Diceros bicornis minor: one gene and its partner. The protein of the gene in region 1 interacts with the protein of each later gene in a pairwise test. Links are inferred from orthologs where the notes say so. Each region holds a gene or a part of one and is shown in the gene's direction. Other genes may lie near its edges.

Region 1 (7,488 bases):
TGGGACATTACAGCAAAGACCAACATATAGGACTTCCTATTTGTGAAATAAATGATTAAGAAAACAAGAAACCTTTCTCTTCTGAAGGGTATTTGTCACTGGTCTTTGATCCCTTCATCCAGTACTGCCTTTCCAGATCCCACGGCACCTGTCCACACATCATTACATTTTTAATGTATTGCGCTCTTCTTAGGATTGTTTCCTATGTAAAAATCCCAGCTCAGACCTATTGTACTTCCTTGAGGAGGGTATCATTATTTACACGTAATACTCTTCTTCTGCATCTCCCAGAGTAGAACTGAGCACACAGTAGGCCTTCAAACATACTTGCAGAATTGAGGTTTTGTAGATGGGTTTCTTCTTAGGCTCCTATGGATAGTATGTGATATTTAGCACATTATTTCATCTCTTACATTATTCTATAGCATTCCACTTGAAGGGAAACAGGTACTTTATTTTTATCAGGACCGCTGGTTGACTCACAACCAAGGCCAGTAACTCAGCTTTCTGAGTTGTAGCTAAAGCATTTTTTTTTAATTGCAGCAGAACTTGGCACTTCTTATTTTACTTCACAAGGCCATATCCTAACAAGTTTCTGTTGTGAGAGGTTTCCATTTTGAAAGACAGGTGAGGCCGTGCTCCCATGCTCATCCGCGTGGGAGGATTTCCCCTCTAAGAAGAAAACAGGGTCTGGCATGGATGAAGCACCACATAAGTGTTTATTATGTAAGTGAATAAGCCTCTGCTTGGCCAAAGGGCACGGCTGTTTCCCAAACATGCCTTGCACAGCTGGTTCCTGTGTCTTTGCTCACTGTGCTTCCTCTTGCTGGTAGTGTTATCTTTTCTCCTCCCTACTTGGCTGGTTTGATATCCTTGGTGAAGACTTCCTCAACTGGCCCAAGCTTTGCTTGTGGACCATTGACTCTCCTGCTCTCCCTGTGGGTGCCACTCGGTGGCGGTCCTGAGCACCTGCTCCCAAGTTCTGCTCCTTGTCATGAAATTCACATACTCTGGTGTACAGCCCTTTAGGTCCTTTGAGTATAACATAATGCCCTGAATGTGGTATGCAATCAATACATATTTCTTGCAAATTACGAACATTCACTTGTCTTAAAAGAAATATGTTAAAAAAGAGGGTTGATAGTAGAAAAGAGAAGGAGGAAATGAGGATGGGAATCTAAACCCTTACTTAACTTAGCCATTCAGGTTTATTTCAGTGCATGCGTATTGTCTGTAAGTAGAATCTTGCTGTAGTATGTCAAGGAAATAAAACCCTTGCTTTGCTGAATTCGAACGTAAATAGATACAAGTGCCAGCCAAGTCAGCCAACAAACTCAAAATCTTGGAATGGTGTAGACAGCTGGTATGTCTTTGAACTCTGTGCCTTTTCACACCTGTTAGAGAAAAATAGGTAAGACTGATGTTGGAATTATTTCAGAAGGAGTTGATGTGCTGATTCAGAGTTATAAAGAGAATTAATCCCTTGAGTCTGTTTCTTTAGGAACCCTATAGCCTGATGAAATTCACAGGAGAAAAAAGACTTTTGAGAGACAGAAAGTGAGGCTTAGAGAACAAGGGGAGAGGAAGTCTTGACCCGAGGAAAGGTGAAAGTGAGAGGGTAAACACAGGTTAGCTCACTCTAGCTTTTAGGCAAAAACAATTTCACCAGTCATAGTTGATATTTTTCTTTAAAACTTCAATGAAATTTATTGCTTTAACAGAAAAAAAGAATTTTTTTCAGTAAGTCAATCTAAGGCCAAAATAATGAAGCAATATATTAACAGGTGCGGCAGTTCCACGGTCTCCGCCATGAGTTTACCCTTCCCTAAAAAGGCAAGAAATCAGAGGGCTGCTGGGAAGAAGACCAGTGAAGAAGACAAGAGCATTACATCTAATAGTATTTCTAGAAGATTTCATTTGGTGAAAAAGATCCAAAATTATTCCTGAGCTTTGTCTGTCCAAGGTGTCTCACAGTCTGCCCCGAGGCAACACTTTGTGGGTCTTGCCCTGGGCCATATCGCCATTGTCCAGCATTGGCCAGGCAAGGTGAGGGGGCTCAGGATGTGTTTGCTGAGGCCCGGGACATTCTGACGAGGGACAGTTGCATGTAACCTGAGTTTCTGGGAAAGTCAGAAACTCTCACAGACTTTCATAAGTGCACACAACTGTTTACTCTGCACCATCAATTACAAGCATTTAAAAAATGCTGCAAACTTTGATAGTGGCCCAAAGGGTTTAGGATATTTCAATTTTAGTTTGCAAAACACAAGAAGAGGGATGGTAAGGTGGGAGGGGAAGAGCACTGTGGCTAACATTGTCTTTGGGAGTGTCTGGCCAGACTTCCTTAGAAGATCACTATGTATTGGACATTAAGGAACACACCAAAGGGGCCTCCTCATCTATCAGGCAATGGACAACTGCACCTCAGAGTCAACTTGTTGACTCAGGCAGTCACTGTCTTAGGAACCAAAACACTGGGGGAGACGTGGTTCTTTTCCCCCTGGCTCTTACAGAACAGGGGGAAAGACAATGAAACGTGCGATTACGTGATGTGGAGAAGTACTGGGACAACGTGCTGTGAAGGGAGTATGTCCTCCCTAGGCTCCCCCAGGCAATGTCCCTCATGGCCACTCCTGTGGGATTTTGTTCATAACTCTAGTACAGCATCTACAATGTATGAGGACCCACACGTGTAAGATGGTGACCTCCTGAAGAGCAGGGCCTATGTCCTATGCATTTTTATATCCCCCGCACCTACCACCTTCTAGAACACTACATGCTCTCCATAAATGTTTGTTGAATTAATAAATGACAAATCTTGTAAATTCTGATAATGGGGTGACAGTTGGGAAGCTGATGAAAACCTGGAGAACTCAGGAATTGTGTCATGCCATAGTATTGCTCTCTGACGTTTTATTATACTCATACCCGTATTTTACAAAGAGATATAAAAGATCGTACAATGTGTATATGCTTTAGATCACAGAGAAATATAGCATGGGAGGGACAGCCTCTAACTTTTCACAGGGTTATGTTCTAGGCAATGTTTGTGACAGAAAGTACAGACAACATTCTCTCTCCAGGACGAATTCTGCCTCTAGAAAGGGAGGAACTGCAAGTCCTGAATCCAGTCTCAGGAAACAGCCGGCGCAGCTCTCTCACCTTAAGCCAGCTTACGAAATCCTATGGAGGGGCTGGAAGGTAAGCTAGAAGCTACCTAAAGCAGCCTATTCCTGCTTGTAAGTTGTGGCTCTCACTGTACCATTTAAGCAGAGTCAACTCCAGTGTAGCTTAAAAGAGTCTTCTGAGATCCTTCAATCTTTCAGTAACCAATTCAAATGTCAAGCAATTTACATATAATAGTTTCAGGTAACGCTTCCTATTGGATGATCAACATCTCCTAGGAAAGTAGAAGAGATGAGTATAAAAATTTCATTTCCTCCTCGTTGAGATACAGATCCAAGAACATTTTTCCCTGGGGTTGAGGGCTGCCTGGCGGGAGTGGTGGGCGGGCCCCAGGTTGGGCCGGGGGCGCCTGGACTGCATGCCTCTCCCAACCGCTCCCCTGGCCCTGAAGATCTCTTCTCCGCAGCATTCCTGCGCGCTGGCACCCACCTGACCTCATCTTAACATTCTATTTCTTTATGCGTTTGTCTATGCAACCTCCCATCCCAGCCCCTGAGTGCAGCGGCACCGCCTCGGTGGTCCGGGGGCGCCCTCCGGGGCCGGCACACAGTAGGAGCATAGCCTCGGCGGTTCAGGGGCCCTCCAGGGCCGGGACACAGTAGGGGCTCGCCCCTCCTGCCGTCTTCCCGTGAACACAGTGAGGCGGTCGTTTGGGCGGTCGCCGGCCGCGGCGATCCTGCGGCGTCCGGGAGCAGGTGCCTGCGCAGCGCCTGCGGCTGTCTCTCGTCGGCCGGCGACATTCAAGCTCTCGCGGCGCGGGGACCCGAGCGCCGGGCAGGCGCGTCTCTCCCAACTCCAGAGCGTGGAGGGCCGGGCGGGGTCGCGACTGCGCAGGGGGCTGCTGGGAGCCAGATTCGGGGTTTTTAACTTATTCCTGCCAGAGGGGCGAAAACGGGTCCCGAGGAGGACGGCGAGGGCTATCCCGGACTGCTGGTGCAGGTAGGCTGCACCTCCCCCCAGGTCGCCTGGCGCCGCGCACCCCGCCCCGCAGCTCCTCCCAGGAAGGACGCCCGAGCCCCTCCAGGACGCGCCGCTCCCGCGCGCCGCGGGCCTGGGAACCGCGCACCGGCTGAGCCCGGAGCCCCGCGGGGCGGCGGGACGGACGGCGCCCGCGCCCAATCGCGGGGCGGGGCCGAGGGGGCCTGCAGGCGGAGGCCAATGAGAGGCCGCGGAGCGGGCGGGGGGCGGCGCCGCCAGGCGGGCGGGCGGCGGTGTCGCTAGCCGGCGCGGCAGACTCGGAGCCCGGGAGGAGCCGGCGGAGCGGGAGGAGGAGGACGGAGGACGGAGGAGGAGGAGCAGCGCCGCGCCCCCGCCCCGGCCGCCCGCCCGCCTGCCCGCTCGAGCGCAGGCCGACAGCTCCAGCCGCAGCCGGCAGGTCCGGGCCGCCTCCCGCCGGAGCCCGGCGCGGGCCGATGGGCAGCCCCGGGCAGCGGCGGGCGGCGAGGCGGCGGCCCCGGGACGCGCCGCCACGCGCTCGCGGGCTGTAGCCGGTCCCGGCAGACTGCGTTTCAGAGGTGCGTGTCAGGGCGAGCGGATGGGAGCGAGGTGGAGTCCGCCCCGGAGCCTTCGGGTGGTGTCTGGGGACGGCCTTGGCGGGGACTGTCCCGAGGTCAAGGGGCTGCCCTTCGGGGCGCCTCGAGGGGCTGACGGCGGGCGCTCCGGAGCGCGGTGCCTGGGGCAGCGAGGCAGGGGCGCGGGGCGGGGGTCTGGCTCGCAGCTGCGCCCGCGCTCCGAAGCCCCGGGTGGAAGAGGAGCCGCCGCCGCTCCTTCTTTCAAAGTTATCGATCGGCTGAAAGATTATTCCCGTCCTGGTGACACGAGCACTAATGAGGACCTCCTCTGGGTGCCCAGCAACTCCTCTGTGACTAACCCAAGAGAAAAGAGAAAAGATAAAAGGGTCCTTGACGCGGTGCACCCGTGCGCCGGGCAGGGTTACTTGCTGAACTTGCTGCGGGGTTTATTCCCCTGGAAGGTATGCGCCACGAGCGCGCCCCCGCCGGCGCCGGCTCCCCCTTTGTAGGATCCCGAGCAGCCGGCGAGCGCGCTGCTAACTCGCCTCGACCTTTCTTCGGAGTCCCGGCGGCTCTCCCGCTTCCCCAGGCTCTGTGTCTCGCTCCGTTCTCTGCTCCAGGTCCTGTTCACGTCCCCCCATATTATTAAATCTAGTTTGACCACGTCCTGGGAATATCCCCACGAGCACCTACAGATTAATTTTCATCCGTGCCGCAAACCAAAAGAATCAATTTCAGTTCATCCTCTACGAGCGAGAGCCGATGCGTCTCGAGAAGAGAAAACAACTTGGCTTTACCCCTCTGGGAGATATTTGTCATCATTAACCTGCTTCAGTTAAATTAATTCAGTCCAAGATGACTCCAGCGTGAGTACTGGAAAAATCAAGTGCATTGGTCACGGAAGTGTGGTCACCAAAACATGATTTTGGTTAAAATAAAATTGTAGACATTTTTGTTTTTGCTTAGATTTAGACTTGGTTTTGATAAAGATGGCCTTTCTATTTTTTTAAACAAAGAATCTTGATGATTCTCATAGGTTTGCTCAGTAAGTTCGAAATAGTCACTCAGATTTTTCTTTTCTTTGCCTCTTTTGTCTGCAGTTTTCATTTCTAAATGTTAACACTAGATGGCTTTCTTATGACAGGCATTTAATAAACTGCGCTTTTGAGTTGCCTATCTGCAATCCAGGTTGTAATTTTTCCAGTTTTCCAGTTAGTAATGGGAGAAAAAAAAATCTCCAAAACTGTTACTTTCTTTGAAATACATTACTTCCCTATAAAACCAATATTTATGCAGATATCAAAAGGTGGCCTACTATTTCTGGCATTTAAAGGTGAATTTCAAGAGACAACTTGGTTACTATTTTTAGTCACAGATTTAAGGATGTCTGTTTCATGTTTTGACTTATTTGAGGAATTCAAAGTTCTATGGTAAGACATGGAATTCTACTTACAGGACATTTCCACTTAGGTTGTTTACTGCTTGATTTAGTAGTTCACTGCTTGATTCAGAGAGATGTAAAAGAATATTATCATGGGAAAGTGCAATCTTTTTTGAGTTTCGGATGCAGATAGCATTGATTCTTCCTAAAGATTCCATTGATGCATTTGGGGAAGAGATGTAGTTGAGGTATATATGCATGATTCATACTGAGGATTGTGTTAGGGACACCTTTATTTCTTTCTCCCTAGTTACATTTGGTTTTTCATTTCTAAGTACAGCTCCTTTTATGAGAAGTACGGTAGTCTGTAGTTGGCCATTTCAGTGGCTGTGAGATCTCAGTTACCTGTTTTAAGTACTTTTTTTTCTAAAGCAAGACCTTGGCAGCCTGTCCAAATCTTGTCTAGGTAGGCAAACTTATTTATAAGCTGGAGAAATATCTTGAAATTATCTTTATAGCTGTCATTTGTGTGTCTTGCCCAGCTTAAAATATGATATGTTGAATTTGTTTGTTCTAAATTAGAGTGTATTCAGAAATAGCTGAAGGAAAAAAAACTCTCCAGCAAACATCTGGGAAGTAGGAAATGAAATGAAATCAGAAACAGCTTTTATCAGTACCCACATGCTACCTATAGATGGAGTGAAATGAACTTGGATAAGAGGCACTGCAAGCATTTGGTCCGGAAAATAAAGCAAGAGACAAACTATAGGTAGGGAGGTGGAGCTTCTGGCTTTGGAGTATGGGCCGCAGATTTTCCCTGGCTGGTTTAAGTATGTTTTTCATCAAATGCTTTTTATGTTTTTAAATCTTAGCCTTTCTCAAAGAGCTTTCATTTTATGGAATGTAAGAGGGGAATTATCAGAGCATCATAACTTTGACGTTTATGATGCTTATTGTAGTTAAAGCTATGTGATATTGGTTTGTAAGTTTTTTTTTCCTTGAGACTGGAATGGTATTTTCAAGGGTTCCTTGATACCTGAACTTAGTAAACACCTGTCTACGTTGGGGATCTTTTTACCTGAGGCAAAAGGAGTAATGGGTTATTCATTCTGTAAGACTATCTATTCTTGCAAGTGAGGAAATACTAGTGAGCTACCCTGAAAGGGCACTCATCTGGTAATTGAAACTGATTTAAATGTGTTTGGTCATCAAAACTAGTGTAAAAGGGGTTGTGTTTACTGCATACTTTGGAAAGAACTATGTGTTTATGTGGATCTAGCCCCCACCCTGCAGCCATGATTGGTAAATGCAAGGTTTTTTTTGAGATTGAGGTAGGCATGGAGCCTTTGAATTTATGATCTACTTGTGGTTTAGGATTACAAATCCTTTCAAAGGTGCTGAATTTGAAGA
Region 2 (7,910 bases), about 8.9 Mb from region 1:
GCTCAAAGCCTTAATCTTAAAGGATTAAATTTGTGAATATAAGTGAACAGCATGCTATTTCATCCAAAAAGAGCCAAACTCAATTTCAGGCTGCGTTAATAAAAATATAAGTTCTAGAAAAGTGAAGGTTATCAGTCCCACCCTATGTTGTGCAGATTAATTCATTCAACAAACATTAACTGAACAGCTCCTAACGACCAGGCACTGTGCAACACTAAGGACACACAATCATCCTTTCTCTTTTCCAGTCTGCATATATTTTCCTTATTTAATCCTCACAATGACCCCTCCAAGAACAGTGTGTTCAGTTTATAAAAATAAAGTAATCTTCCAGAGAATTTTCTGAAAGAGAAAAAAATGTGGTTTGGAAGAAGAGGTTACTGAAGTTGTTGCTTGGTCACCTAAGATACTTACAGACTTTTATTCCTAGGGTTACCATGCAATTTTAAAACACAGGGTCCTTAGTGAGGTACGAGATGGTGGCGGAGGGGAGTCCAAGTGAAATGGTTAGGAAGCAATAATTTGAGAAAAGCTCAACATTTGCTGATTGGAGAATTGCAGTTTGTTTCCTTTTTAGTATTAAAAGTCATGACTCAGAACACTCTTTAATTGCTAATGTCAGAGAAAGTTACAATGTGGGCTCTTAGGATTCAACTCTTCCTAACATCAACTTCAGAGCTTACAAATATTTGCTATGATGAATAAGTAAAGCTATGCCTGAAGAAGATTAGGCAGAACTTGAGAGTGGAAGTAGAGACACTAGTTAGGAAGCCAATACAAAGTCTAAGCAAGACACAGTCTAAACTTGAGTTGTTGCAGCAGGAATGGAAAAGGAAAGGCATTTATAAGACATTACTGAAGAAGAAAAGACCAACTTTGATAACTACATGTGGATGGAAAATGAAGCAAATATCTAAGTTCTAAACTTTGGAGAAACAGCAGTTAGTGGTGCCGTTAACAGATGCAGGAACCATAGAAGAAGGTGCAGATTTAGGACAACAGGTGTATTTAGTTTGGTACATATGACTTCGAAGTGTCAGCAAGACACTCAGAAGGAGATATTGAGCAGATAGTTAAAATTAGGGTCTGAGAGCTGAAGGATATAGAGATAGAAAGATCACACCTGTGAAACCCTCCAGTACAAAGCCTGGAATCCCTACATCTTCTGCTTTAGCCAAACCAAACCATCTGTAGTTCCCCAACAGAGGCAGCTCTCCTCCATCTCCACCTCTAAACAAACATTCCTATAAAGCCACATACCCTACTTTATACCTGGTTTATTCCTTGTCATCTTTCAGAATGCTCAGGTATCATTTTCCCAAACCCTACTCATTTCCCACCAAAAGGGTGGTACCTGAGTCTTACCTCTCTATATATATGTACCTAATATTTAGCACTATGCCTAAATTAGCAGGCACTTAAAAGTCTGACTGAAAGAACAGACTTGGCATGTGCTCAACAAGACTTGGAAGGAACTGTATCCTCTTAGATGTGACCACTAAAGAAATGAACTTGGATGAGATTTCCAAAGGAGAAAAAAGAACTATGTGGTCCTAGATATAGGTAATCATCATGGAACATCTTCATCTAGGGAGCAGTTCCCGAGAATGCTTCTGAACTTTTTTCAGCCCTAAATATCTCACCTGTAACATGGGGATCACTACTGCTACCTCACAGATTGCTGGGAAAATTAAATGAGATAGCATATATAAAGCAGGGAGTATAAAGTCTGGGACTCAACTAATGTTCCCTTCTGTTCCCCAACCCAATGCAAAACATGTTAGAGCCTGCCTATTTCTTTGCAACTTTAGTAACTGCTTTCCCCTGAAAAGCAATCCAACCTAGAAAATAATGGATATTTGAAAAAGAGAGGCTAGACTTGTCAGATGCTTTCCGTAGAGCAGAGTTTTTTCAATCTCAACACAACTGTCAATTTTGGCTGGATAATTCTTTGTTGTAGTGGGCTCTCTGTGCATTGTAGGATGTTTAACAGCATCTTTGACCTCTACCCACTAGATGCCACTAGCACTCCCCACCAAAAATGTCTCCAGACATTGCCAAATGTCCCCCGGGGGGCAAAATTTCCCCTCATTGACAACTGCTACCTCAGAGCTAAATGAAATTCTCACAAAGCTCTAATCCATTCCCTGACATCTACAAATATATCTCATAAATGTATTTGTTCCCCACTCACTGATTCTACACATTAAATTATGCTTAGATTTTATAAGCCTTTCTCCTTAAAAGTTAATCGGAACTGTTAACTAGCCCCTTAACTGTCAAGCAGTCATCAGAGATAATGCATGCAGTCTAACCACTCAGTGCATTATCACACTGCAATCCTTAAAGCCAAACTAATATAATGAAAGTAGGAAGAACCAATTCCAAAAGGTCTTTACACAAAATTAAAAGATTTGTCCCAGTACTCAAGCGTCTCATCCTTAACTTCATGTCTAGAGGTGGCACTAACTAAGTAGATATTGTATAAAATGAGTTTTAGTTGCCTAAGGACTTTTACAAATTTTAAATTACACTAATGGCATATATAAAAATATATATATATATAAAATGCATTATATGTATTTAAGAATTATTATGTATCATATGCCCATATATTGCAACAACATAAAAAGTTATGTACACTAACAAAAAAACAGAAGCAAAAGTAGAGAAACAAAAACTGAGTTAACAGTTCACTAGGGTTTCTGGATAAACTGCTCTAAGTTAATAAGTATAGCATGGTAATTAAGAGTACAGACTTGGAATCAGACTACCTGGATTAAAATCCCAACCCCATCACTTACTAGATAGGTGACCTTGATCAAGTTACTTAACCTCTCTATGGCTCTTTCCTCCCTGGTAAAATGGAGATTATAGTATCTACCTTGTAGGGTTGTTGTGGGATTCAATCAGTTAAAATGGATAAAATGCTGAAACAATGCCCAGCACATACTTAAGTATTAAACATTAGAATTTATCATTATTTTTAAGGATGCATAGGCAGAGAAAAGTGTATCTTGGGTGGCTGTATAAAAATAGGCATAGTAGAGTCAAACAACAATCAACTTGCACGCATATGCTCTGGATCCGTATTTCAGTTCCTTATCTAAGTGTTTAATTTGGGCTTCAATTTCCTCATCTGTAAAACAGGAAACCACTTTGACAATGGATTAGCATAAGGGAAAACCTAAGGCCGTATGTCTAGTAAGATAGTAGGGAAAAGTTGCATCTGTCTTCCAACTCGGTAGAGGAAACTTTATGTAGGAGGTGCCTTTTAAGGAAATATTCTAAAAATGGGCCCAGAAGGGAGAGCACATGCCTCGCACCCAGGTAAAGCCTTTGCTTTACTCTATAGTTTGAAAGCTTAAAATAAAAATAGAACATCTTGAGTTGTTAAAAAAAAGTTTATTTTCTTCGTATAAGGTAGGTACGGGTAGGAGGAATGCATTAAAGGCACTGGTCACTGTCAATTCAAAACAGCATGAACACTCCGCCAGGCCCCTGTGAACTTTTCTTTTCAATTCTGAATGATTCATTCTTTTGGAGGAAAAAAAGGGTAATGTTGGAAGAAACAAGATTTCTCTTTTATAATCAGGAGTGTCCTAATAGTTTTAAATCAATTTGATATGTCTATTTTTAGATTAAAAAACCACTGCCTCCCAACGAACATTTCAAAATCAAGGACTGTGCGCGCTGCATGTTATACTTATTAGGAAGGAATATTTTAGCAAACAACTTTTTACAAGTAAAAGTTGCATCATCAAGCACATGTGAGGCAGGTGTTAGGGGCAGAACTGTCCCCATTGCTGCCAAAACGTGGAAAGAAAAATCAACCTTTCCTATCCATTCAGCCAAAGACGGCCCCGGTAAAGCCTCGGAGGCCGGGTGTATGTCCCTGATAGAGGGTCTTCAAAGGTGCCAACTTTCAGAGTGTGAACGAAAAGAAAGGTCAAATCGTCCTCTTGGGACACTTGACGAAAAATCCCCGATAATTCTTTCTTTGCCTCAGCGTAGAGCAGCAGCTGGGCCTCCTCCTCGTTAACCCCCAGCGAAGAGGAGGCGGCCGCGTATGACTGCTCTGGTCCAATCTCCTCCTCTGGGGGTCACAGTACCGACAGGGAGGGCTCCCACGTGGCGCCCGCAGCCTGGCCACAGCTGGCTCGGCCTTCCCACCCCCACCCCTCGGCTGGCGTTCTGATTGGCCAAAGGCGGCCGGAGTCGCTCCAGAGCAGCGGCGATTCGGCCAAACTGGGCGGGCACCGCTTGAGGGGTCGCAGCCTTGCGGGCAGCTCCCCGAGCAGCCGGTCCTCCGTGTTGGCCCCATGCCCGCAGCGAAGGCACCACCCAGTGCCGGAGCCGCGCAACCCCACGTGGGCCCTGGTTAGCGGCAGACGCCGTCGCCCTCCACCCTACGTCGGGTAGCCCTCACCTCAGCGCTCGCGGCGCCTCCACCTTTAGCTTCTTGGGCTTCCGCTCCTCCTCAGCCGCTGCCATCTTCGCGCTCCCACCCTACTTAAGCTCCAGCCCACGCCCCACCCCTTCGACTCTCTGGCCCCGCCCCCTCCTCGCATCACCGCCTCCTTTCCTCCGAACCCCGCCCCTCCCGACTCCTCTAAGTCCGTGCCTCCCCCACCCACAGCCATTGGCTCTACCCGTCGGTTGCACCAATTGGCTAAAACATAGCCCTCCTGACCCCGCCCACCGGACAGTAGGGGGACCCCAGACTGAGTTAGGCTGCGCATGAGCGCCTGAGTCCATATGGTCAGAAATCGCCCATTCTTCTAGATTCTGGGTGATCTAGAAGATTTAGATCTTAAACATCAAGAGACATCTTTCTTCTCATTCACCGTCTTCCCGCTTGTTTAATCTTTTCAAGACTGTGGAACGAGGTGGTTTCTTTGAAGCTGTCAGTAAGGCAATCTACTGGGCACTCCACCTGCGGGGTCCTCACGGCCCTCGAAGCTTCCTCAGCCTCCGTCCGGAAAGGACCCGGCGCCGAATCACTGACAGGCCCAGGTGTTGGGGTGAGTGTGAGGGGAGGGGAGTCTGCGGACAGGGGACAGCTCGAAAACTGGGGAGTAAGCTGAGTAGCTGTGGCTCCGGATCCCAGGCTGGGCTGCAGGAGTATCTCTGGTGCTGTGGGCCGGGACCGCTCCTCCCTCCCGGCCTTCCGGGCTTCCTTGCCAGGAGGGCCGGAAGGGAGCGGTGCACCTGGAGCCCAGGGTTCTCCGGCCCCAGGCCCAAGAGGTTCAAGCTCTTTGGGGTCCCTCTCCGTGCTCTGGCTCGGGAAAAAGTCTTGTCACCCACAATGAGCTGGAGTACTGACGACTCGGACCTCAGCCCCAGGCTTTTGCTGTGGAGGACAAAACCTCTGACTGACCTGAGCGGACGTCCTGTTAGAGGGTGGCGCCTGGATGAGCCTGGGGTGGGGAATACAGTGAAGAGGGTGTTGCAGTTCTTAGAAGAGAGGTGACGGAAATCTAAACTGAGGAGGTGGCAGTGAGTATGGAAAAGTGATGAGCGATGTGGCTTGCTGGATTTGGTGGATTTGGGTTGAAGCTGAAGCTTATAGCCTACAGGTTAAGAAAGTGGTGCCACTATAAAATTGGGATATATCAAGTTTGAAACCGTGGTTTAAGTGGAGATGGTAGAAAGATTAAAAAGAAAAAAAAAAAAAAGCCTGGAAAGTAAGCCGGAAAGAAATTTTCAAGGTGAGGACCAAATCAGGTGAAGTTTCACATAATAGAGTAAGAAGTGTTCGTTTTGTTTGGGGGAAAGTTATCAGTTATGTGAAATGCTGCAAGGGTCAAAGGAGGAAGTTGAAGTCTGAAAATGGGTCGTTGGATTCGATGATTAGGAAGTCATTGGGCCACTTGAGAGAGCTGCTTTAAATAGAGTAGATTACTGAGAGGAGAGGCTGCAAGTGTAGACTTAATCCTTCTTCATTTGGAGCATGAAGCAAAAGAGTTTTGAGGGTGGCAAGGTCTCTAAAAGGTTTGGGATTTGTTTTTCTAAAGAATACAAGGCACATTATGTTTTGGTGCAGAAAACAAGTAACCAATGTATAAGATTAAAGATTCAAGAGAGATAAGACCTAGGAAAAAAGGGAAGGGAATGGGATCAAAATTACAAGTGGATTGGTTTTGGAAAGAAAGGAGGACACTTTCAGTTGAGACCATGGGAAAAGTGGAGGAATGAAGTGAGTGAAGAAGTACCTGAAATTTACATATCTTTAGTAGGAAAGCTCTCTTTACAATAAGATTAACTTTTCTTGCTGAATGTTAGGATTTTTACAATATTTCTAAACATTCAACATAATATACTATTGGAGTTCCCTGCAGACCAGATGTTTTTAAGTAGCTCTATAATATCTCAATTTATGAGTAGCAAATGATATTTGTAGAGAAAAGGAATTCTCTCTCCCTCTACAAATGTCCTTCTCTCCTATTACACAGAGATAATAGAGCCATCATCTTCCTGCAACCGAATACACAAACCTCCCCTTTTCTTTAAAGAAGAAAAAGGGTCCCTTCTTCTTAGGGAAGGCAAATCCTTTCACTTAGTCTCCCAATACCATCCTTTTCTGTCTTCTCAGGGTCCTCTTTTTTTCACTTATTCCCTCTCTCCTCCTCATTAGCCTTTCCCCCTTTACTCACACCTTTCCTTCAGTATTTAAAAATATTCTTCCTTTATGAACCACTCCCATTTACTTTCCTGTCTTTTCATCCCCTTCACAGCTAGAGTTCTTGAATATATCATCTACTCTCCGTATGTCTGTTTTTCCCACTTTCTCAGCCCACTGCAGTATATCTTGTTTCCATCATTGTACTGAACTACCACTGAAACTATTTTTACTAAGATCACCAATGTCCTCTATGTGTTAAATCATACATTCTCAGTAGGGACAAATATTGCTTGTTGTGAGGCAAAAAAATCATGCTATTTTTATGTATAAAGCACAGATATATTTACAATATGTAAAGAGATATACAGATATATATTCGGTGGTATTAAAATTTTATGGAGGAGGGGTGTGAATGAAGGGAAGTCTGACAAGTCCCCTTAGCAGGCAATAATGAAAAGAAAGTTGAAAAACACTGTTAAATCAACAGTCATTTTCAGTTCTTCTTGTAGCTTTAACTCTTTGTGCTATTTGAAATGTTTACTACTCCAATCTTCTGGTAACACACTCTAGTTACTACAAACCGTTACCCTCCCCCCTTTGTTTCTTATCCCTCTTCAGCCACATCTTCTTAGTTTTTTTATTTTTAGGCCCACTTTATGGACTCAGCTGCTACTCAAATGTTGGAGTTCCTTCCATAGGCTCTCTTCTACTATGCACATTCTCTCTTTGTAGTTTTATTCTTGTAGTTACAATTCCTCTTAACAAACAATCATGATTACTCACAAATCTATCTCCAACTTGGCTTCTCTCTGAAGCACCAGACCTATATATACAATAGCCTTTTGAATATATCCATTTGGGTCAAATATATCCAGAATTGGGGCAGATTATACAGGACCAGGGCTAAATGCCTCATTTCCCTCTCATCTCCTCCCCTTCTACCACCTAATCTTTGCGCAGGCCTAAATATTTCTCTTATCTCTTCTTCTTCTTTTTATTTTTATTTTTTTTGTGAGGAAGATCAGCCCTGAGCTAACATCTATGCTAATCCTCCTCTTTTTGCTGAGGAAGACCTGCTCTGAGATAACATCTATTGCCAGTCCTCCTCCTTTTTTTCCCCAAAGCCCCAGTAGATAGTTGTATGTCATAGTTGCACATCCTTCTAATTGCTGTATGTGGGACGCCGCCTCAGCATGGCCGGAGAAGCGGTGCGTGGGTGCGTGCCCGGGATGCGAACCCGGGCTGCCAATAGCGGAGCACGCACACTTAACTGCTAACCCACTCT

What was found.
Region 2: the proteins of SIPA1L2 (region 1) and AP3M1 interact in binary tests that used the Homo sapiens proteins (3 or more experiments, as listed by UniProt). The two-hybrid records come from large-scale screens. The link is inferred for Diceros bicornis minor from reciprocal best matches to the Homo sapiens genes SIPA1L2 and AP3M1.

The regions. Positions count from the first base shown.
Region 1 is NC_080745.1:23,700,687-23,708,174, forward strand, and holds the start of SIPA1L2 (signal-induced proliferation-associated 1-like protein 2), read left to right. Parts: upstream 1-4,462; 5' UTR 4,463-4,700; intron 4,701-7,488.
Region 2 is NC_080745.1:32,589,010-32,596,919, forward strand, and holds the start of AP3M1 (AP-3 complex subunit mu-1), read left to right. Parts: upstream 1-4,751; 5' UTR 4,752-5,024; intron 5,025-5,181; exon of another isoform or gene 5,182-5,711; intron 5,712-7,910. Other genes in the region: ADK (adenosine kinase), read right to left, coding at 4,430-4,494. UniProt on the Homo sapiens protein: Part of the AP-3 complex, an adaptor-related complex which is not clathrin-associated. The complex is associated with the Golgi region as well as more peripheral structures.